Diceros bicornis minor: one gene and its partners. The protein of the gene in region 1 interacts with the protein of each later gene in a biochemical or structural test. Links are inferred from orthologs where the notes say so. Each region holds a gene or a part of one and is shown on either strand. Other genes may lie near its edges.

The links. The genes of interacting proteins can lie anywhere in the genome.
Region 2: the proteins of ERBB4 (region 1) and ABL2 form a complex in vitro, tested with the Homo sapiens proteins (2 studies listed by BioGRID and IntAct, with this or other methods). The link is inferred for Diceros bicornis minor from reciprocal best matches to the Homo sapiens genes ERBB4 and ABL2.
Region 3: the proteins of ERBB4 (region 1) and NRG1 form a complex in vitro, tested with the Homo sapiens proteins (2 studies listed by BioGRID and IntAct, with this or other methods). The link is inferred for Diceros bicornis minor from reciprocal best matches to the Homo sapiens genes ERBB4 and NRG1.

What each region holds. Positions count from the first base shown.
Region 1 is NC_080776.1:3,746,244-3,753,705, forward strand, and holds the start of ERBB4 (receptor tyrosine-protein kinase erbB-4), read right to left. Parts: upstream 3,018-7,462; 5' UTR 2,943-3,017; coding exon 2,861-2,942; intron 1-2,860. UniProt on the Homo sapiens protein: Tyrosine-protein kinase that plays an essential role as cell surface receptor for neuregulins and EGF family members and regulates development of the heart, the central nervous system and the mammary gland, gene transcription, cell proliferation, differentiation, migration and apoptosis.
Region 2 is NC_080743.1:87,717,846-87,725,263, reverse strand, and holds the start of ABL2 (tyrosine-protein kinase ABL2), read right to left. Parts: upstream 3,011-7,418; 5' UTR 2,796-3,010; coding exon 2,639-2,795; intron 1-2,638. UniProt on the Homo sapiens protein: Non-receptor tyrosine-protein kinase that plays an ABL1-overlapping role in key processes linked to cell growth and survival such as cytoskeleton remodeling in response to extracellular stimuli, cell motility and adhesion and receptor endocytosis.
Region 3 is NC_080768.1:30,156,114-30,163,695, reverse strand, and holds the start of NRG1 (pro-neuregulin-1, membrane-bound isoform), read right to left. Parts: upstream 3,011-7,582; coding exon 2,344-3,010; intron 1-2,343. Other genes in the region: uncharacterized LOC128092250 homolog, read right to left, coding at 3,323-3,511. UniProt on the Homo sapiens protein: Direct ligand for ERBB3 and ERBB4 tyrosine kinase receptors. Concomitantly recruits ERBB1 and ERBB2 coreceptors, resulting in ligand-stimulated tyrosine phosphorylation and activation of the ERBB receptors.

The DNA.
Region 1 (7,462 bases):
AGTCCTTTTGGTGGTAAAGTCTTTATAATTGTCATTATAAAGGGCCTTTGGCTATAATATTTCTAGATAAAATGAATCACTAGAAATGAGACAAACTGCTTCAGAATTACTAAAAGATCATCTTCTCTAAAGCTGATTTTTTTCCAAACAAAAGAAGAAAAAATCAAAACAGGTCCTCTTCCTTTACAATTATTTTAAGAAATATCTTAGATCTAGACAACAGAATCCCCCCTATATTTTTATTCTGTTCACATAGAGCAGTAAATAAGGTGCATTCCTTCTGCTTAAGAAATTAGCATTTCAAAAATATGCCACTTTCCCCTGAACTCCAAGCGTGTCTAATAATGCGAGAAGCAGATTGTCTTCCCTCGTTTCCTTAATTTGTTTCATCTAAAAGCAATTCACTCAACATCTTGTCGCCCTCTGGCAGCTTAGTTTACTTATCCGCACTTAATTTCTCATTTGGACCAAAACAAACTCCTGCAAACTGCTACTGACTGCTAACCGCGAGAGGGGAGACACGCAATATGTATTTACTTGGGAACATACAGACACACAAACACAGCCACACACACACACACAGAGCCTCACTCATACACCAGACAGTCACTTGGTTTTATAAAAGCACAACATTAAAACCCGCGGAACTTCCCCCGCCAGGTGCCGGGGTTGGGGCGGGGTAGGAGTGGGTAGGATGAAAAAAGAAGTCCCCGGGGGCGTTTACAGTTTGCAGCGGATCTCCTTAGCCTGCGAGCTGCAGTTACACCAGGGATGCGCGCGAGAGCTCTTCGTTGTGCGGCCCTTTCATCTAGATCACTTTGTGTTTGGAACCAGGGAGGCTCGCCTTTGTGCCCCCAGAATTTCAAGTGCACAGCCACACACGGGACAACAATGGCACGCTAATCCTCGCGCTCTAAATGGGCTCAATTGTGGGTCTGACAATTCGCGGGGGGAAGCGAGGAGAGACGAGCGAGGGCGCGAGCCGGTGTCGCCTGAGACGAGGAAGGGGACAGCTGCAGAACTAATTTGGATTACATCCCTCGCAGAAATTCTGAAAAGGGCTTTTCGGCATAGCTCAACCTCGAGCCGCACAGTTAAGCCCAAATTGCTGCGGACTCGGAGCCGGGTCCCCCAGCGGCTGAGGCTGAACCAGACAGCCCCCAGTAGGTCGCCTCGTAGAAATTCCTCTCGGCTAAGCCTGCCTGTCAGTCGCCGCTGCTTTTGAATGGGTCAATGTGCATAATCAACCCATTGAGGGCAAATATGAAGGGACCCGGGGTAGGGAGGGGGATAAAAAGGGATGTAGCTAAGAGGCCGCTTGGAATCTCGAGTCCGTGTTGGTGTCAGTCCGGAGGTGGCCGGAGCGCGGGACCCGGTATGCATGAAGAATTTCGGGGTAATTGGGAGGGTGCAAACGGCCAGAACAGACAGCGCGCATTGTGCCATTCGAAGGTCATTCTGAAAGACTCGGTGATTGTAACTTGTTATTTACTAGGCAAGGAGGGGGCGGCGGCGGCGGGGGCGGAGCGGCGAACTACAGCGCGCTGTTTTCTTGGTGAGGTCAGCAGGACACCCTCCGGGGGCCTGAAGCTCTCCTATCTACACTCCCGGGAGCTTTATCTCCCCTAGCTGCCTCCCACGCTCCCGCGACCAGCCCTGGATGGCTCCGGAAATCTCTCTGGCTCTCCAAAAGGCCCCCCTGGCCGCGTGAGACACCGCTTCTCCTCCGTCCTTTCCTGTCCCACGTTCATCCCCAGGAAACTCAAGTGTCAGAAACTTGGAGCTCCCTCGCACTGCAGGCGCTATCACTAGCCCTGCGCGGCGCGGAGCGCCGGCCCCACTGCGCTGCCTCCCCGGGGTCAACTGGCCGTCTGCCTGTCCGGGTCACCGGCGCGCAGGCTCTCCAGCAAACAGTGGCCGCGCACCCGGCGCAGCCACGCCCGCCTGGGGTTCAATCCATCCGCGCGACGGGTCGGCTCGGCAGCCACGCCGGGCAGTAAACAGAGAAGTTGGAGGGACTCCGGCCAATAGCAAGTTGAACTACAGGAAGAACTCTTCCTGGTGCCAAACACAGCAACCGACGGGAAGGCCGGGCTCCCGGCTCAAGTATGTCAAGCCTTTTTTTTTTTTTTTTTAAGGAGTCAGGCGGCCAAGCCAGCTCCCCTCCAGTCAACGGGGCGAGGGCTGCGGGACGCCGGCCGAGGAGGCCCAGAGTTCCGGGCCCCCGGCCGAGGCGCGCGCGCCGGCCCGCCCGCCGCGCTCCAGCTGCCCAGGCTGGGCTCAAGTCGGGTCTGACCCCGCAAGGCTCGGGCGACTGGGGGCGCGGTGGCCGCCGGCAGCACACACAGGTGCAAAGCCCGGCTCTCGGAGCTCCTCTCCCCACAGCCCTCGCGCTCCTAAGCAGCCCAGCCGGCAGCGCCCCGGGACCCCGTCCGTCGCGGCCCTGGCAGTGCGCGCCTCTCCGAGGCTTCTCCCTCCGGGGGCGCAGACGGGGAGCGGACCGTCTCCCCTGACTCGGGATTCGGGTCTCCCACGTCCTGCACAAGCGCGCCCAGAGAGATTCCGCTTAGGCTCATAGAAAACGCGCCAGAAAGAAGGGGGTTCGGGGGAGAGAAAAAGGGAGAGGGGCGCAGAGGGATTTTTCACGATCCATAAAACACACGCACAGACAGAGGGTAAGTTTGGGGACAGAAAGAGGGGCGAACGAAAGCCCCAGGATGAGGCCCCGGTGGAGTGGTCCCTCCGCGCCCGGGAGCGAGCGGGTCTCAGGCTGGGCGAAGGGGGCGCGGGCGCTACCATCGCGGCCAAGCCGGCGGCAGCAGGTTCCACCCCGGGAGCGCGACAGGGAACCGCGACCCACCTGACTGAGAAGCGCTGGGCTGGACGGTCCCCGCCGCCACGAGAAGGCTCCCCCAGACCCACAGTCCTGTCGCCAGCTTCATTTTTTGGACGTCTCAGATCCCGTGCTGACAATTACATGTCCAAATGGCATATCCCCTTTCGGGCACGCGGAGGAGAGCCCGCAGCCAGGCGCGCGTGGGGGCGCAAGGGGGACAGGCGCGCGTGGGGGCGCAAGGGGGACCGGCTCCGAGCGGGGACGCCCGGTCCGCGGGTCCGGGGCCGGGGCCCCGAGGAGAGGAGAGTGTGCGCGCGCGTGGGAGGGTGCCCGAGTGTGTGCGCGGGGCGCTCCGGGCCGGACTGTGCAGCTATTCCCCGTGTGAGCCTTCGCTGTCTCGCTCCCTCCTCACTTTCTCTCTCTCACTGGTTGGTCCACGATAAAAAGGAAGGGGGAAAAAGGTTTCCAAAAAAAGTTGATTGCAAAGAGGCGGTAGGTTTCCGGCCTCTCCCCCCAGCCGCGCTATGTTCGGCTCCCTTTGCAGTGTCCCTGCACCTCCAGTCCAAATTGGGAGGGAAGGGGGGGGGAAGCGTCCTGCTTCTCCCCCGATCCCGTCCTCCTTTTCCCTGTCAGCTTGCCTCACGCTTGTCCGGCGGCTGCGGTAATTAAAGCTCCGAGCGTCACTTCCAACGCTCCGCGGTCTCCAGCTGCAGCCCCACAGAGAAATTAATAAGGCTCCGGCAGAAAAAAAAGGGGGAGGGGGCGGACAAAACCACCCTCACGCAGCCAGCCTGGCTCGGCTCGGCCGCGCAAACCCCGCCCCCGCTCTGACCCAACTAGCCACGCCCTTTCGCCCGCCCCCCCAAAGGGAAATCTTATTGGCTCAGCCACTCCCCAAAATCCTCGGCCTCAGGAGTTGGGAAAACACCTGTCAGGGAGCCGGAGGGGGGGGGGTGTGGGGGCGGAGAAGCCGGATTTAAAGGGCTCACCCGAGGCCACAGACTGAAACAGAGGCCCGGGACAGCTGGCCCGTGGAGCGCGCGGACCACACGAGGGATGCTTGCAGAAAAGATCTTTTTTAAACAAGAAAGTCACCATTTTTTCGTATTGCCCCACGGTGCTCATCCACAGACTGGATTTTCCCTAGAAATAGAAGAAAAGACAACGTTGCTTCCGGCTAAAAGCCTCCCCCCAACTCTCTACCCGCACCCTCCCATTCTCTACGCTCAGAGAGTAGTTTAAAAGCCGATTCAGTGACTGTTAGCCTCTGCAGATTGGAAGTCCGGATCCCTTTTCTCAGCCTCGCCGGCTCTCCCAGTATTCCCACCATTCCAAACTGACCAACACTGCGTCAGCTGAAAACTCCGCATTTGTAGAGCTGCATCCTTTGATTTTAGACTTGATGAGTCTTTTCACCTTTTCCTTGGACTCGAGGACGACTTGGTTTGGGGTTCATTCTCATTAAGTAGATTCTAGTCCAAACCTACTGATTTGGTTCTAAAGAGCTAGAAATTGTCCCAGGCCTGAGCTATTCAGTCTGAAAGGATTAAGAAGCCCATGTCAGGGATAACCAACCTCAGATGATTAGGCTTCCTCGACAGCGGACCCAGCTCTAGGCTCCTTCCAGGTTTTCACTCTGCAAGGTCACCGCTCCCCAAGCCCCAGGTCATTGCTAGCTGTGGGAGTTTCCGGGTTCTTCTGGATCTAAAATATCCTGGGATTGGGTCATATCTGTGTACATATCCCTCGCCTTTTACAGCTCTGGAACTGTACCCTGGGCAGAGGCCAGAACCTCCTGGGAGGTTGTAGGTTATTGGTTTGCTATTTGCACAGGCATTCTTTGTATGGATTATTTTCCTTTTTCAGTTTCTCTAGAAGCAGCAAATATATAAATGAAGAGTATCAGGGGAACTTAAAAATCAAGCCACCTGCCTCCTCACCCATCATTTGAGACCTTCCCCTTCCTCCTCCACATCTTTTATCTATAGCCTTGTCCCTTAAGAATTTCCAGGAGCTGAGCACAGGGAGAAAAAACAGCCTCTTTCCAGAAGCCCGAAGCCTTCCCTTTCTTAGGCCCACAGCTAGCAGCAGGCACAGAGAGGAGGCCAAACAGGTTGAGCATGCTGTTTTACCCAGAAGCAGCCTTGGGCCAGGAGAAGCTAAGCCTAGAGCAGGTGATGGTGACTTCACCAGAGTGGTACTGATTGCAGCAGAACTGTGCACACTGCTCTTTGGGATTATCTTTGTTTTCTATTTTTATCACCTCGACTCTCTGTTTTCTTTTCTTTCATTCCATTTCTTCTCAGCATCCTTGTCTCAAATCCCCTTCTACTACTTTTAATGAATTTCAGACACCTCTCTTCCATGAAAGCTTCTTCTTTTTAAAATTTCCATTCTGTCCCCAGAATAACAACTTAAGCGATTCAGGATTAAGTTTCTGTATCAAAAAGAGAAGTCTTGTTTCTGATAACAATTATGTTGCAAGAAGTGAAGAAATAGATTGTGTACTTTAACTTAAAGTTGAGGGAAACATTAAATACTCTGAATATGTTGAGTTTTTTAAAATATATTTGTGTCTGTCGTGATAGCTTTTACTCCTCCACGAATTTTATGGCGATTTTGTTGCTATAAAATTGTGGCAGGAGGGGCTGGCCCAACTGCTTCGGCAGCCCGGGGTTTGCAGGTTCGGATCCCGGGCACAGACTGACACACCACTCACCGAGCCATGCTATGGCGGCGTCCCATATAAAGTAGAGGAAGATGGGCACGGATGTTAGCACAGGGCCAATCTTCCTCAGCAAAAAAGAGGAGGATTGGCAATAGATGTTAGCTCAGGGCTAATCTTCCTCACAGACAAAAAGTAAATAAATAAAAAATAAAATAAATAAAATTTTGTCAGAAACTCTCCTATACACTTTGATCCCATTTTCCTGGTTTTAACTGATTGAAACAATGATTAATACCTGGCCAAATTTGGGTATCTGAGCTGCAGCCTATAAAATGAATTGGCAAGAAAGCTCTATGCCCAAAAAGCATCCTATATTCAATGGTGACTGGTCTACCCAAGCAGAGTCTAGTTCAAATAATTTGAATATGAGACCCTAGAGACTTAGACAGAAGGTGGTATTCTGTGGGGGCAAACTGGAAGTGAAAACATAGAAGCCATGAGCTAGAGTCAAGAATTAATTCTTTTTGTGTTTGCTCCCATTTGCTTCCCAACATCTAAGGAGGGGACATTTGCCACCTGATGTGGAAAGCACATGCTAACTGGATTGCTAGAGGATTTCTGAGATGGGTCTCTGTATTTCTTCATTTTCCTATCGATCTTTATAATAGATCCCCATCAGTTGAGTTAACTAAAATATGTTGCTGTTATTTGCAACCTGGAAAAAAACACATCTAGTAACCCATCATGTTACTTAGCAAACCGTAGGTGAATATCTGGAATTATCTGCTCAGTACCCCTTTTCTAGGAACTGTCCTTCCCTCAGTTGTACATCTTTAACTTGGGTCTGCCTCCATGGTACAACAATCCCCACTCCCTTGTTCTAAGTTGGACCAATCAAAATGCCTTCATCACTGATGATTGGTTGAGAGATGGTCATTTCTGCTCAGTATCTTCCCTGGGATTTTTGTGCATGGGAAAGAAAGAGTTCATATTCTTTCATTCACTGGTAGCTTTTGAGATCTAAAAGTCCGGAGTTGGCCTGTCTATATTTCCTTCTTTGTAGGGATAACCAGGCTGCGGTGAGAAAGAGTGAAGCTGCCATTTGAAAGGAGCCAAAGCCCAGGAAGGTCTGGAAAAATACTCAAGCTGTTCCTGTTGCTTAGTTGTTCAAACCCCGTTTTTCCTTAAGCTAGTTCAATTTTTGTTTTTGAAACCAGAACTCCTGAAATGGTAAAAGAACTTCTGAAACCAGAACAGCGTGAAGTGGTAAAAGAACTTCTCCAGCCTGAGTGAGCTCATAGAGACCATCACGCCCCTTGAGGAGGATGTCTTGATATGGCCCATGTTCAGTTTCCCTTCCCAGTTTCTCATGACTTCCCTTGGCTGAAGCCAGAACCCCAACAAAGAGATTCCTTTGGCCTTTGCTGCTTCCCCATATCTCCTTCTCCACTTCATTTCTTCCATTAGTGGTAGAATTCAAAGAGAGTCTTGACATCATGAGTGACAGAATGCTACTGGTGAGAGAAAGGAACACATTGATCTCAGAGTTCAATGTTGAGTTGGACACTTAACTTTGCCCAGAGTCTGATAGCTCACTTCAATCTCCTGCTTGTTTCTAAGACTTCCCTAAAGGTAAGATTAGAGCTTGCTGCTTTAGACATTTTGTCATTGGCCATAAGTATAAATTTCCGATAAATATCAACTAAGAAAAGAAAACAACACCCTATTGTAAATCAGTTATCTTCTCCTGAACATTTTAAAATAAATACAGGATTCTAATTTTCCCTCCCTGTCCATCATGATCTCCCTCGTCATCTTTCTAAGTTATCTTGTGATCATGAGAAACTTACTTCATATACCTACACCCATTGCCTTGTCTTTAAAGGAAGGGATTGTTATGTCCCAAATCTAAGACTTCGGGGCCGGCCTGGTGGCGCAAGTGGTTGGGTGCGCGCGCT
Region 2 (7,418 bases), on another chromosome or scaffold:
CACCAGGCCAGCCCCTCAAAATACTTTTGTTTGTTGAATGAATGAACTATCCCTAGAATTTACCCCTCCTATTTCCACTGCCTCCACTCAAGGCCAGTCTTTCAGCATTTCATTCTTGGGGTTTGTTGACGTATCCTATAAACTAGCCAATGAGGTAAACTGATACAAATTCCTCTGCCACATTTTCCATAACTCAGAACCATCCAATGCATTCAAAGTTTTCTTCCCACTGCTTCTCAATTAGAATCATAAAATCTTAGAGTCAGAAGGTACCTTAGAGATAATCCAGTCCAACATTTTAAAGATAAAGAAACCCAAAGACAGTCCAAAGATAGTAAGTGACTAAATCACCCAACCAAGCAGAGCCAGGACCAGAACTTGATTCTTGCCTTTTTTGCTCTAGGATTCACTCCTGGCGGATTTGCTTCACTCCTAACAGATGTCACCTCACTATCCCATCAACAAATCATGTTCATTCCCACTGTTCATGCTCAAGTTGTTTCTCCTGCCCAGCCTGCCCTCTTTTTCTTGCTCCACAGATCCAAATCCTATCTATCCTTCAAAATCTCTTCCTATTCCATTCTTCACGACTTCCTCCTCTGAAAATCTTATGTCCTGAATAAGATGCTAGAGGAAAAGATCACCGTTGACTAATGGGCCAAGTTTAATGCATACTAACACTTCCTACAAAGCAAAGCTACTTGGATGATTTCTTCCCTGAAAACTATTCACTCATTCTTTCCTCCTGTGTTTTAGGAAGTGATGTCAATAAAGATCAACTCACATAGCACCTTCATAAAATGTTCATATACCAGGAAGAGAAGCTCATTCACATCTTTAATAGTAGACATGCAACGCCTGAATGGCCCCAAATCAGTTATATCTCCTCATTAAGAAACAACTCAGCTTATTCACAAAGTCCAAGCCCAGAACTCTCTGATACAACTCACCTAGCAGCCACAGTTCCTTGGTTCATCTCTTTCTCTGCATACTACCATCTATCATTATTCCCTCTAAAACTCCATTTCTAAAGAATAGTTCACACTTCTTTTTCTTACTCCTCTTCCCCACACTGTGCAGTATACAACACCCTGTCTCTTTTATCCTTTATTATTTTCTATATGCCTCTTCAGTGAAACTCCAGTTTGCCACCTCTCATCCAACCTCAACTATTCATATCCAGTCCTTTATACAGAAGTCCCATCTATCTTTTCAGCCTCTCTCAGGTCTTAGGGCATCTCAACCCCATGAAGGTCAATCTCATTTTTCCCCCTTCTCCACTCTTCCTTCCTCTAGAAAAGTGGTCTCAAAAGTGGTGTGGGTGCAGCTCAGAGAAACTGCAAAAGGATCCATTGGGCTGCAGGAAATAAAAATATATTAGAACTGTTTTTTTTTTTTTTTGTGAGGAAGATCAGCCCTGAGCTAACATCCATGCTAATCCTCCTCTTTTTGCTGAGGAAGACAAGCTCTGAGCTAACATCTATTGCCAATCCTCCTTTTTTTTTTCCCCCAAAGCCCCAGTAGATAGTTGTATGTCATAGTTGCACATCATTCTAGTTGCTGTATGTGGGAAGCTGCCTCAGCATGGCCGGAGAAGCGGTGTGTCAGTGCGCGGCCAGTAGCATAGTGCACGCACTTAACCGCTAAGCCACGGGGCCGGCCCTAGAACTCTTATTATACTTATTTTTTCATCTCATCCTTTCTTAAATTCTATTTCTGTGTACACTTATAAGTTACATACCATATTAGTACAGTAGGAGTGATAATTAATAAAGACAAATTCTTGGAGTATATGTTCTTTTACCAATAACAGTGTATGATCAAAAGAGTTTGGAGAAAAACATTCTAAAAATACCTTGATAATGAGGCCAAATAGGTTGCAGACTATATAGAGAATGTATGTATTTAGGTATGTATGCATGCATGCACATATACGGTAGAAAGAAAAACGTCAGTTCATACTCAAAGTCCTAACCATGCCCACCAACCTCTACCCTCTGCCAGCCATCTCAGAATTGTGTCCTACTCAGAAGACTAGAACAGAGGATGGTTTGGCAAAGTCCTTCATTTCCAGTTTGCGGAAAAAAAAAAAAAAATCAAAAGTGCTGAGATACCTTATCTTTCCCATAGAAGTTATTTCAGGACACTGTTCACTATCCTGGCACTGCTTATCGCCTTATACATATACTTTATACGCCACTATCTCCTGAGATTCAGTTCCTATTTCCCAGTCTCTTAAGGCACAACTCATGTTTCCTTCGCTAATGACCGATTTATACAAACCCCTCCGGGATTGGGCTCACACCTCCCTTCATCCTTCCCTCCTCTGGGGATACTGTCCACAGTATCCCTAAGCCGCACAGTCCCGTCCCAGGGTAGAGGACAGTCCATCCACAGTCCCTAAGACCACTTCTCTTTCCTCCTCCGCCCCCGGGAGCTGCCAGCCAGGCTGGAGACGGGAGGGGGGAGGGGTGTGACTCGTCTCCCGTGACTGGCCCAGATGGCAGCAGATTCCGCCCCCACTCCCAGGCACCCCTCCACCCCCGACCCCCTAGGGCTGCCTGTCTGCTTCCCACCCCGCCCCGACCCCACCCCTGGCCTCCCTCACGTCCTCACCCCGGCTCCTGGACACACTCACCATGCTGGGTAAAGATATTGAAGCCGGCCTCCGTGGTGCGTCCCGCCAGGTCCCGCCTGCGGCCGGAGGGCCTGGCTGCACTGCTGCCCCGGATCCCGCGGGGTTGCGGCTGCTGAAGCCCCGGAGCCTCCCCGACGCGGCCCACCTGCTGCCCCATCCCTGCGCTCGCGTACTCCCGCGCCCCCGCCGACCCCTGGTCACATTCCTCCTCGGCTCCGGCCTCGGCTCTTGGCGCTGCTCCGGCCTCTCCTTCCCAGTCCAGGCCCCGGCCCTGAGCGGCCGGGCCGCCGGAGGCTCCGCACCCGGTCTCCTCACAGCAGCCGCCGCGCCGCCTCTCCGCGACTCACAGATTCTCCCCTTCCCTCCCCCTCCCGCGGCTCCGCGCCCCCAACGCTGCCGCTGCCACTGCCGCCGCCGCCTCCGCCGCCGCCATCTTTAAACCACCGAGCGCTGGGAGAGCGTGGGACAGAGCGCCGCCCGCCCCCCACCCGACCAGTCACCTCCGCTGCTCAGGGGGAGGGCGCCCCGCGGCCCCGCCCCCGGCCCCGCCCCGCCCGCGCCGCCCCGCCTTCTCGCAGGGTGGGTCCCCCAGCGCCCACCTCATCTGCACGTCTACCTCTGCTTCAGGTCTTTCGGCGCCTCTGTGTCTTCGCCGCGCCTCGGCCTCCCAAGTCTGGATCCGCTTTAGCCGACCCATCCCACGTTCGGCTCCACATGCTACCGCCTTTTGGGGTTGGTCCGTCTAAAGCCTTCTGTGTCCCACCTCCACCTGTCAAATCAATCAGTCGACCTGAACGCCCCAGGTGCACAGCTCATTAGCAGGCACAGTTGGGACGGAAAAGCACAAGGCATTTGGTGCTTGTCATCCAGGTGAGGATCCCTAAAATGCCCAGGAGAATCCCTTTAAACACCCTTGTCAGCGGCCTAGAGTTAAAATTAAAATTATACAGAATTTACATGAAGATGGTAAAAAGTTATATTATTATTTCATTGTAATTTTTTGAAATTATTTCATGATGTTAAATTGCATTCGCTTTGATTGTCTGCACTCTACAGTCTCATTGGAGAAGCAGTTGTGGCCCCATTCCTCATATTATATTACCATGAATTCCTCTTGAACTTTTACAGCATCTAACCACATGTGTGTTTCTGTTACCCTTACAATGCTTGACAGTATGTAAAGCTAATCTTCCTACTGGCAGGCTTTATATACCGAGCACGTGGTCAGGTCTTTTGATGTCAAAGGAGAAAAAAAATCTTTGAACCTGTTTCTGAGTCAGAACTTACTCATCTTTAACTTATATTGTCTAAAGAGTGACTCAAGCAGAAGAGAAATGTTTTTTATACATGCAAACACATATATATGTATAAATTTCCACTTATCCCCCCACTGCACATTCTTGCATCTTAATATTGATCCAGTTTTTTAAATTCTCAAAGAACTTGATAATTATCCTCCTGCTATTCCTTTGGCTTTCCTCTTTCCTTTATAAAAAGTATTAGTTATTGGAGGTACCATACTGAAAATTTGCTTTAAATTAAAGAAGAGAGGATGGGAGCCATTACCAAGAAGCAGCAAAACAACCACAGGGATAGGTTTAGGGGGGAAAGGTGGACACAGTTCTCCTTTGCGTGTCTTTCATAGAACCAGGCTGACTTTAGATGAACCATCCACTGACATTGATACTCACTACTATAAAAGCATTATGAAATTATTCCGTTGCCATCCAGGGTGTGGCCAGAAATAACTGAAATTGCCCCCAAAATGGGAACAGAAACACTGTGCTTTAGCACTGGATAGAATATGAACTTTCCATTTGGATCAAAGTTTTCCTGTGCTTAAAATACTTTTTTTTCTTTTAATTCCCAAAGCATTTGCAACTACTGAAAAAAAATCATTCACAAAGGATAAAGGTGATCATAGAGCCAGAATTTGGTTTGTTGTTTGATTTTTATTATCTGAGAGAATTTTAATTTGGGGATAACAGTCTCTGCTGATTCATGCATGGTATATAATAGATGAGTATAGTATAGTGCTGTGGTTAAGGGCAGGGACTTTGAAGCCAGACTGCTTGAATTCAAAACTGGGCTCTGAAACTGATGAGCTATTTGCTCTTGGGCAAATACTTAACGTTTTGCACATCAATTTGTGGCTGTTGTGAGAATTAAATTGGTTACTATATATAACGCACTTAAAACAGTATTTGGCATATAATAAGTAACATACAAGCACTTCCTATTAGTACAAAAAAAATGACGTTTTCACAAGTCCATCAACTTTTCCAAGCCTAATTTCTTCAAGTGTTATACACTTAGATCATGGAACAAATTCTACAGAATTTATTCAGGTGAGCCCCCTTCCACCACCTGCCACCTTGCATCTAACTAAAAACAAAAACACCAACCAATAAAAACATGTAGAATCATATATCACTTTATTAGTCATTCCTACCTGGTTATCACCAGCTACCTGCACATGTGAACTATTACATAATACCTTTGTTTTGAATATGAAGATTTCTCTACCATTGATTCTTAAGATTCTGTATAGACTAAAGCAAATGCCCTGTAAGTGGAGACTTAGGATACATGCATTATCTTGTGGATATTTTCCATTCTTTCATTTTCAAAGTGAAATGGGAACTTTCAGAATTGGGGGGTGGTGATAGAGTAGAGAAAATCCTAATTAATTAGGTGGGAACTACATTTAGACATTTAAAACAATCTCAAGTAGTACCATCTCAAACTGAATTAAGGGCAGCTGTGAGCTCCAGGCAGGGGAAGAAACCAAGTGAAAAAAAGTAGCAAGAATGATGCGTGTAGCACTTCCCTGTCTTTACTAGTCTGCATTTCCAGCCTTTTGCCACATTCTTACATTATCTCCCATATCTACTTCTTTTTCTACACCTGTATGGACACAGTGTTCATTTGGACTCAGGCATCTCTCTGTTGGATTCTCCTGCTACTTGCCTTTTCTTCCTAGGTTCCTCACCTTTAGCACCAGGCAATACACTAAAACAAAAATATTTCTTCCTCTCATTGCTTTGGCCGTGTTCCCTCACCCCTTCATCAATTCTAAATTTTTCACCTAATGTTTCAAGACTATTTTTCAGGATACCTTGGATTATAATTGCCTAATGTTCATCATCTCCTGTTTCTCAAACCCTCACCCCTCCTATGACAGGCATGTATGTTTTATCCAGTTAGTCTCTTTCTGGGATGTTTTCTTCTTTAGCTATGACTTTTGCAATAATCATATTCTCTCCAATATGGCTCCCAAGTGACTCCTCTTACAGTATTCAGGATTCTACTCAGGTCCTGCCTCCTTCATAAGAGAATCTCAGACTTATCCATGGAGACCTGATAGTTTCCCTGGACTCGATTGGGTCCAGACCTAAAACAACCACAGCTGTTAACAATTCTTTGCTTATAAAATTCAACTACCTTCCTCTACATCCCCCAAATGTGTTTAATTTTGACACGTGGCTCAGTGTCACGGGTTGGAAAGAACCTTAGAGATCATCCAACCTAATCTCCTGGAATTCCCTCTACAATAACTCCAGTGAGGGGCCCATTTATTTTGAAGGGTTCTAATTGTTAAAAGTTCTTCCTAAAGATAAACTGACATATGCCTTCCTGATAGATCCATCTATTTCACTCCTGGTCCTAGTTCTATTCAGTAGCTACACAGAACAAATCTAACCTTTCTTCTACACAACAGCCCTACAAATATTTGAGAGCTGTCATGTTTCCCCAAATCTTATACTTGAATACGTGCATATGCTTGTGTAGTTATGTTTATTTCTGTCTCTATTATCTACATGGGCTGAGAATGTTTATGTAGATAAATTGGAAGAAAAAATGTCATTTTATATGTAATATTTTTCTCTTTTTTCCAGCTTTATTGAGATATAATTGACATATAACATCATGTAAGTTTAAGGTGTACAACATGTTGATTCGATATACTTGTAGACTGCAAAATGATTACCACCATAGGTTAGCTAACGCCTCCATCACATCACATAATTACCATTTCTTTTTTGGGGTGAGAGCATTTAAGATCTACTCTCTTAGCAACTTTCAAGTATATAATACAGTACTATTAGCTATAATTACCATGCTGTACATTAGATCCCCGAACTTATTCATCTTATAACTGGAAGTGTGTGTTCTTGGACTAACATCTGCCCATTTCCCCTACCCTTAGCCCCTGCTGACCACCACTCTACTCGTTGTTTCTATGAGTTTGGCTTTTTTCGATTCCACATACAAGTGATAGCATACAGTATTTGCCCTTCTCTCTCTGACTTATTTCACTTAGCATGATACTTTGAAGGCCAATTTATGTTGTTGCAAATGGCAGGATTTCCTTCCTTCTCATAGCTGACTAATATTCCATTATAGATATATGTATATTTCACATCTTCCTTATTCATTATTTTTTTTTAAGATTTTATTTATTTATTTTTTCCCCCCAAAGCCACAGTAGATAGTTGTATGTCATAGCTGCACATCCTTCCAGTTGCTGCATGTGGGACGTGGCCTCAGCATGGCCAGAGAAGTGGTGCGTCGGTGCGCACCCGGGATCCGAACCTGGGCTGCCAGCAGCGGAGCGCGCGCACTTAACAGCTAAGCCACGGGGCCGGCCCCCTTATCCATTATTTTTAAGCTGTTTGTGCATGCAGTACTTTGGATTTTGTTTATGTGTGGTTTATCTTCGCATTGTTGTTGTGTTAAGTCTTTAAAGGCCTATAGAGTGCCAAATATAGTTCCATTT
Region 3 (7,582 bases), on another chromosome or scaffold:
CAATACTTTCTTAGTTGAAAAGAAAAAAGTGAAAGAGATTATAAAATGACAATCTAATTCCAAGCTTTTTTTTTTTTTTTGCTTTCCTTTAGTTAATGTTTACAAGCTTGTTAAACAACAATAACAACCACTTATGAGTTTCTGAAAACAAAGCTCCCTGGACCAACCCCTTTCCAAAAAAAAAAACAAACACAATTTTTAGGATACTAGTGTTTTTGTTGTTTTCAGGCACTAGATCAAAAAATTAACACAGAGTTTCCCATACAGAAAACCCTATAGGCTGTAAAGTGTTAACCAACACTCTCCCCTAACTTTTCAGGAGACCAGCACTTCCCAGACTGCTTTTCCAGGCTTCTCTCCAATGGACTTCAGAACACTGCAGCTGTGCATCTGGCCAGAACTGGCCCCTAGGATGCTTTTAGGCAGCAGTAAATCTTTTCCACTCAAAGCAAATGCCAGAAAATCAATGCTCTGGCTTGGAAACACGAAAAGAAAAGAAACTATATGGAATGTGTAATCTATTAAAACACTTGCTAGAAGAATTGCCCTTAAAAAATAATTTCTCAAAACGTCACGACATACTTTTTGATATGGTCCTAGATCAGGAAAATGTGCTGGGTATTTCTTTGTTTGCTTGTTTTCCGCGGACAGAATTATAGAATTTAGTTGAGTTTTTCAAAGAGTCTTCTTTCTTTTTCTGGACAACTAGACCTATTCAGGCACATTTTAATTAAAGACTTAAGTTGAAAATGATAAAGACAAAGAAGTAACCTTGTCTGCATAGTGAATTTTGCTTCTCTTTGCAGGATTTGGACTTGCTTTTTATAGCCTGTCATTTCATCTGGGTATTATTTCCCGGTCACTTTGCCAGGTGGGAAGAGGCAGTGAATGCAGCGATGTCTGTCAGACCTTTAATGATGCTTCAGGGATTTGATAAAGATACAAAGCAGTAGGACGTTCTTCCCTAATTACACCTGAAAAACAAGCCTCTTTTTTTTTTTAAACCTTTGCCACTAAAACTGGTGTGTATAAAATGATCCTGATTCATAAGCCCAAATCAAGTTTTTCTCTGTTTCTGTAACACACGGATCCCCCTCATCCTGAACATAATGTCTGGAAAAGATATTTTTTATTCTTCATTTCCATTTAGAGGGAAGCAAACGGGGTATTTCATCACAGAAGCCTTATCCTCAACTCTCCTTTAAGAGATTTTACACACGTTTTTAAGAACCAAATCCTCTGATCTTTTACTTTTTTCTACTCAAGAAATATTCATCAATGGTAAAAGTGATAGAAGATAGAGAAACAACAATAAATTAGAAATGTAAAAAAAAAAAGAGCTATAGAAAACTCCTCCGTTATACGTTGATGTTTAGAACAATCTGACTAGTCACGGTCTCATCCTTGTCAACTTTCCATTACAAAGCATTGCAATGACCAGGTACAAACAGCAGTATATTGTTCTGTTTTGTTTCAACAGCATGGGCTCTCTTCACTCACAGATTATTAAACTGGACTGCTGCAATCTGATGGGCGAAATGACACATGTCTAAAAAAACGACGTAGCTTACTAATGTATTCTGTACTTTTTAATAACGGCCAAGGAAGCTATTTAAACATTTGATTACAGAAGACAAAACTAATCTGGGAAAATCTTTTCATGCAGAATTATTCTGTGTTCTGAACAAAATTAAGCTGCCTCTCGTAAGTGCTCAGAAACTGAAACTACAATCTGGGTAGGACAGCTGTAGCCTGACGCTGGCGAGAGGTGAGCATCATAAATGTCTAAAGACTTGATGCAATATTTGGAGGAACCAATTAAAACACAAATGCAGGGAGAAGTGGTTAAAGGAACAGGAAGAAGAGATGGAGAAAGAGAACAGGCAGCTTGGGATGGCTGGGAGGCACAGGGTATCAGAAAGCTGGGGAGAGGTGATAGGAACTCTATGGTGGAAAAAGAAAGACACAAAATCAGACTCACTGCTATGTGAAAATCAAATTTATATAAAAAATACAGGATGGGCTGACGTTTAATTTTAAAAAGTATTAGAAATCAATTGAATTTAACTCAGACGCTGAAGTTTTGGGCCCCCCACCCCAGATTTAACCATCTGGCTAGAGCGAGCTTCTGTTAGAGCACTGATTCATACTAGGAGTTTACAAGATCTTTTTACTCATCTCTTCAACGCCAGCCCAAGCATCCCAGTCACATGATAGGCTTCAACAAAACCAGGCAATTAAAATACAAGGAGGAGAGGAAACAGCTACACGCCCTGGAGAACACCTTTTAGGATCTCCAACCCACCCTTTCTTTTATCCATCACCATCTCTCTCTCTACTTACAAAGTTTAGGAGCAGTTTGAAGATTAGTTTCTGTTGTTTGTGGCTGAGTTGCTGACTTGGGTGTTCTCACCTCAGGGCTCCGAGTGGGTGACGGGAAGGATGGTGCAGTGGACGGCAGGAAAGAAAAGGCAAAAATACGATTCTTCGGGGTGGGTACCGCTGAAGGTTCAGAGGACACAACAGCATTGTCAACTTGCACTGTAACTTGAACCTCAGTGTCAGATTGAGCCCTAGAGACAGGTGAAGTGTATGCCTCAGATGATACCCACACAGCTGAGGCAGCAGTTGGATCCAGAGAAATAATAGGGTCCTGGCCTAACCCCCCGGGGTCAAGGTGAGTGGGAGAGTCATACTCAAATATCTTGTCCACAAATACCCACTTGAGGCCGGCAATGCAGAGGCAGAGGCTGACGAGGCAAGCCAGAATGGGGACAATGCAGATTTTCTCCGAGTTGAGGCAACCTCTCAGGCGCTCGCCTTCCAGGCAGACACAGCAGGGAACTGCCAGGCCCACGAGTCCGGAGGTTCTCCCATCTTCAGTCTGGGTCTCTGGCATGTCTTCAGCTGCCGGAAGCCCGTCAAGAGATGGGTCTGTACTCAGCTGAGTGGAGGGGCTGGAGCACCTCTCTGCAGCTACCCCAGACATGTCTGGGGAAGAGATCTCCATGGGCTCACCTCCAGAAGGCCTGGCCTCTCTCATGGTCCATTACCAGGCAGGGCCCCCCCCAACCAAATGATACAGCATCTTACATGGGGAAATCGATAAGTCGTCCAAGTCCAAGGCCATTATCAAAAGCAAGAGGAGTTCAGGAGGAAGGAAGGAAAAAAAGCCCCTAGCAACTACCAAATAAAAGTATATGGTAATTCTTTACTGCTGTTTCTGGGCCACTTTAGTAGTTCTTTTAAATGCTTCTCCAAACCATCCGTGCTAGTCAAGAGGGCAGGGGCCAGAATAGAAATCCAGCTGATGGTTGGTCAATTAAGTGAACCAGTAGCCCAAACTGAAAGGCATGTTTCTCACCTCGAGCATCTGAAGCTGGTGTCTGCTTAGATGGAGAAAACAACTGTCATGCAGGAGAAGTAAAAGCAAGAGCAGAATCAGCGGCGGCGGCGGCGGCGGCAGCAGCGGCGGCGGCAGGAGAGGCAGCAGCGACAGTAGCAACAGCATCCTGTTGTGTTAACGCGACGGCTGAAAGAGGCTGAATCATTACAGAGCAGCAGGTGCCTGCCCTCCGAGCATCACTGCAAACAGTATCATCACAGAGGGATCTGAAGGGACGAGTGCGGCCAGGAGGGGCGGTAACTCCCCTCCCCGCCCTGCCTCCACCCCCACCCCGCAACCACTCCTCTTTGTCCTTCTTGAGCGCTCATTCACTTTCTTCCTCTGCGGCTCTTCCCTTCTTCATAGTCTCTTTCTCTTTCTTTCCCCTCCTCATCCAAAGACGTTCTCACTCTCTCTCTTTCTTTTTCCTCCCTCCTCTCCCAACCCCCACCCTCTACCCGCACTCTGGAGCTGCTTGGCTGGTCTGAGTAAAATCAGTATACCCAGCAACACAGGACTGCCAGTGACTTCCTATTTTATCCAATTAGAAGGAATAAAGGCCATCAAATCAAAGAGAAGCAGGCAGGCACCAGTTAAGCTTGGTCCCCATGGCCCCCACCCTTTTTCTTCTCTTTCTCTTTTTCTCTCTGCAAAAGCGGCCCCAGTCTTCCACCCCCACCTTGCTTGCTTTCAGTCTGGCTGGCTCTCTTTCCTGCACCCACTGTTGGGTCAGGAAAAGGCAGCGATCGATGCTAGCAATCTAACAAAGCTGGGCTGAGGCTGGGGATGTAGGTGGGACCTTCTGGGTTGGACCTGGGGCTTGGCAAAGTCTGATATCTGATTCCTCCCTAGAGAGGTAAGCTTTTCAAGCAGCAATTACTTCCTGCCTGCTGCTGAGAGATAGCGTTCCTTCCTCAGCCCTCCAGTAAGTTTTGTTCACCAACAGGACTGTTATTACCTGATTTTCAACCAACAGTTCGAACATTTCTTTCAAACCATGGACAGCTCTGCCTTTGGCCCTTTTTGCAATGATTGTGTAAGACTTTGTAATGCCCAGTGTGAAATGCTGAGTGTATGGTGAAGGAGGCGGGTGCTAGGGGAGGGGAGAGAGACTCATACGTCCCCACTCTGGTCCTCTTTAAATTTCCATTTCCCTGTGCCACTCACAGCAGTCCTAGATGAATATCAAGCTAATAAGAAACCCTGGGAAGTAACAGAGCTACGAAGGGAGCAAAGGCTACCACTTCTTTTTGAAATTAGCCTTCATTGTGACTTCACACTGCGGAGGTTTGAATTCCCTGAGTGCTGTAATATATACCACATGTCCTCAGCTATAACCACACTGAAAGTATTAAGAAGAGTTTTCTATTAGAGCATGCCTTTTGGGTTAGGTTTCAGTAGCATTACCTTACAGATAGTTTCAATGTTGATTTTTTCCCCCCTTTTAAGATAGCAGTCATTAAGATACTGGGAAGAAGTGCACTGTCCTCAATAGAGAGCACATGGTCCCCCAAACCTCCCGTTGGTTACACGTCAGCGCACACTATATGCATCGTAACCTTTAATCCACGCTTTACTGTGACTGGACACCCGAATGGTTTCCAAGGAACCATTTTGCTCACCTATGTCAACAGGAGTCTTAAAAACTCTCTCTAAATCTATACTACATAACCATCATATGAGTCCCAGAAGCAATAAAATTTAGAGCTCAAGTCCTGAGAAAAATCTGCTTTAAGCACATGATATTTTGTATAGCACAATCTCCACTGCTTTGAAATATTTTTAAGCTTTAAGTGGGCATGAGATAAGAATATTATCATTTCTTTCAAAATGAAATTAGTCCATAATTATAAATGATTTAGGGGGCATTCATATCTTAAAATGTGCTTGTAGTACTGTAACTAACAACAACAAAAGCCTGAACAAATTTGCATAATCATAATTATGACTATGACAAGCTTATGGGCAAAATGAGTTATCCTGAAGTTCACCTCTACATAACCTGCATTTATGCACCAGTATTTTAAAATAATTCCTATGCCTAGTTTCTATTTTTAACAGTGAGAGCTTTCTGAAAGATTCTAGCAATGGACATAAAATTTCATATCATAGAAAATCTATATTGAAGCATTTGCAGTATTCCAACTGAGGTATTAAGATTTTAATGATCACTATTCATGTAAATATTCAAAAACAATATAAACAAGTAAATGTTTACGCTAAATTAGGATAACTTATAATTCCTTCAGAGATCACCCGGTGTAAATATGTGGCACTTAACTCCTCAATTCTGCCCCAAACCAAAATTATACTCAAGTATAATCCACTGGCATTTTATCCACAGCCAAGGTCATCTAAATTTCAAAGACCAAAATGGGGTTCAGGTAGCCCAAGTCAGGCAGGTAAGAGAAGACACCAAGAAGAGTAACCAATAACGTAAAAAGTGGTCCTTGCAGCCGGCCTGGTGACACAGTAGTTAAGTTCATGTGCTCCACTCTGGCGGCCCGGAGTTGGTGGGTTCTGATCCCCGGCACAGACCTACACACTGCTCATCAAGCCATGCTGTGGCAGCGTCTCATATACAAAGTAGAGGAAGACTGGCACAGATGTTAGCTCAGGGACCATCTTCCTCAAGCAAAAAGAAGAAGATTGGTAACAGATGTTAGCTCAGAGCCAATCTTCCTCATGAAAAAAAAAAAAAGTGGTCCTTAACTTGCACCAATCACAACTACTCACCTCACCATAATTGTTAAGAACAAACACATTCAGCAGACAAAGAAATCACTGGGCACTGCTGTAGCTGTCATATTAGAAACACGCATCTTTAATATGACAACTAGAACAGTGCTGAGTAATTTCCTACAAAGGAAAATAACACATTATACAAAGACTAGGCCAAAGCATCAGAGACAGAATCCTGTGGGCCACCACAGCCATTCCGTCCCCTGGACTGCACGAATCAGACTGTGGGATGTGCATGTGTCCTCCTTGGAGATGTACTCCATGAACCTTGTGGCACCTTGGAGATAAGATCAGAGTGCAGAGAGCCAGCATCCTATAAAGTTGTTTCCCACCAAATTGGAAAGTGAATAATTGAGGAAAGGGAGTAGGACAGGAGGTACAGAATAAAAGGAATTCTCCAATAGTTCTACCCTTTGGACTAGGAGCCAGAAGTTGTCTTTATCCCTTTATCAAATTCTCTATAGCAATAAAGAAGTGAGGAAGGGTAGTGTGAATGGGACAGGGATCGAAATTTCCTTTGGATAAAACATGCCTGTTTGTAGGAAGAAGTGCAAGGATGTATCACTTTAACCCTTTAGGCTACACCCCAATAAAGCTCAAGGAACCCATATTTCCATGTTCCCTTAAAAAATGAACAAGAGACATATTTTTACTGCCTTTTTAACACCACGTTACCACCTCCTTCATACAAAAAAAGCTACATTTATTGAGCTCCACCTTTGCGCCAGGCACTCTGTAGATTCTTAACATACATTATTTCTGATCTTCTCTAATCCTGTATAATACATATTATCTGGAAAACAAAGAAACAGACTCAGGCGGCTTAGGTAACTTAGCCATGGACACACAGCTATTAAGTGACAGGCCAAGATTTGAACAAAGGTCTGACTCATGCTATTTTTGCTGAAAAATACTGCTTCTCTTTTTTAATTAAAAGAATGCATTTGATTATGTATTCCTCACCTACCACTTCAAGGGGAGAATAAGTGACCCAGAAAGCATAACAATGAAATAGGCAATATTACCTTAATGTAGCTGGTAAACACACTTAAAAGGTGCCTAGTTTCCAAAAAAGCCTTCTAAGATTTTGCCTAGTGAGTTGCGAAAGTTATAAGGATTAATCATAGGCTATTTAAGTATCTCTATTTAGACTTTAAATTAAACGAGCTCTTCCACAGTCTCAGTTACAGGATTTTCTCTGGAATACTATTTCAGTTATGTATTGCTATGAAACCAACCGCCCTGAAATAGCTTAAAACAAAACCATTGTATTGTATCTCACTCGTCTGCAGGTTTACTGGGTTCAGCTGAGTGGTTCTTCTGCCCACTTGGATGTCAGCTGGGGCTGCAACCAGCTGGAGGTGCGACTGGGCTGAAACATTCAAGCTGGCTCCCACACCTGACTGGCAGCTGATGCCAGGGGTCAGCTGGGAGCTCATCTGGGACTACTGGATG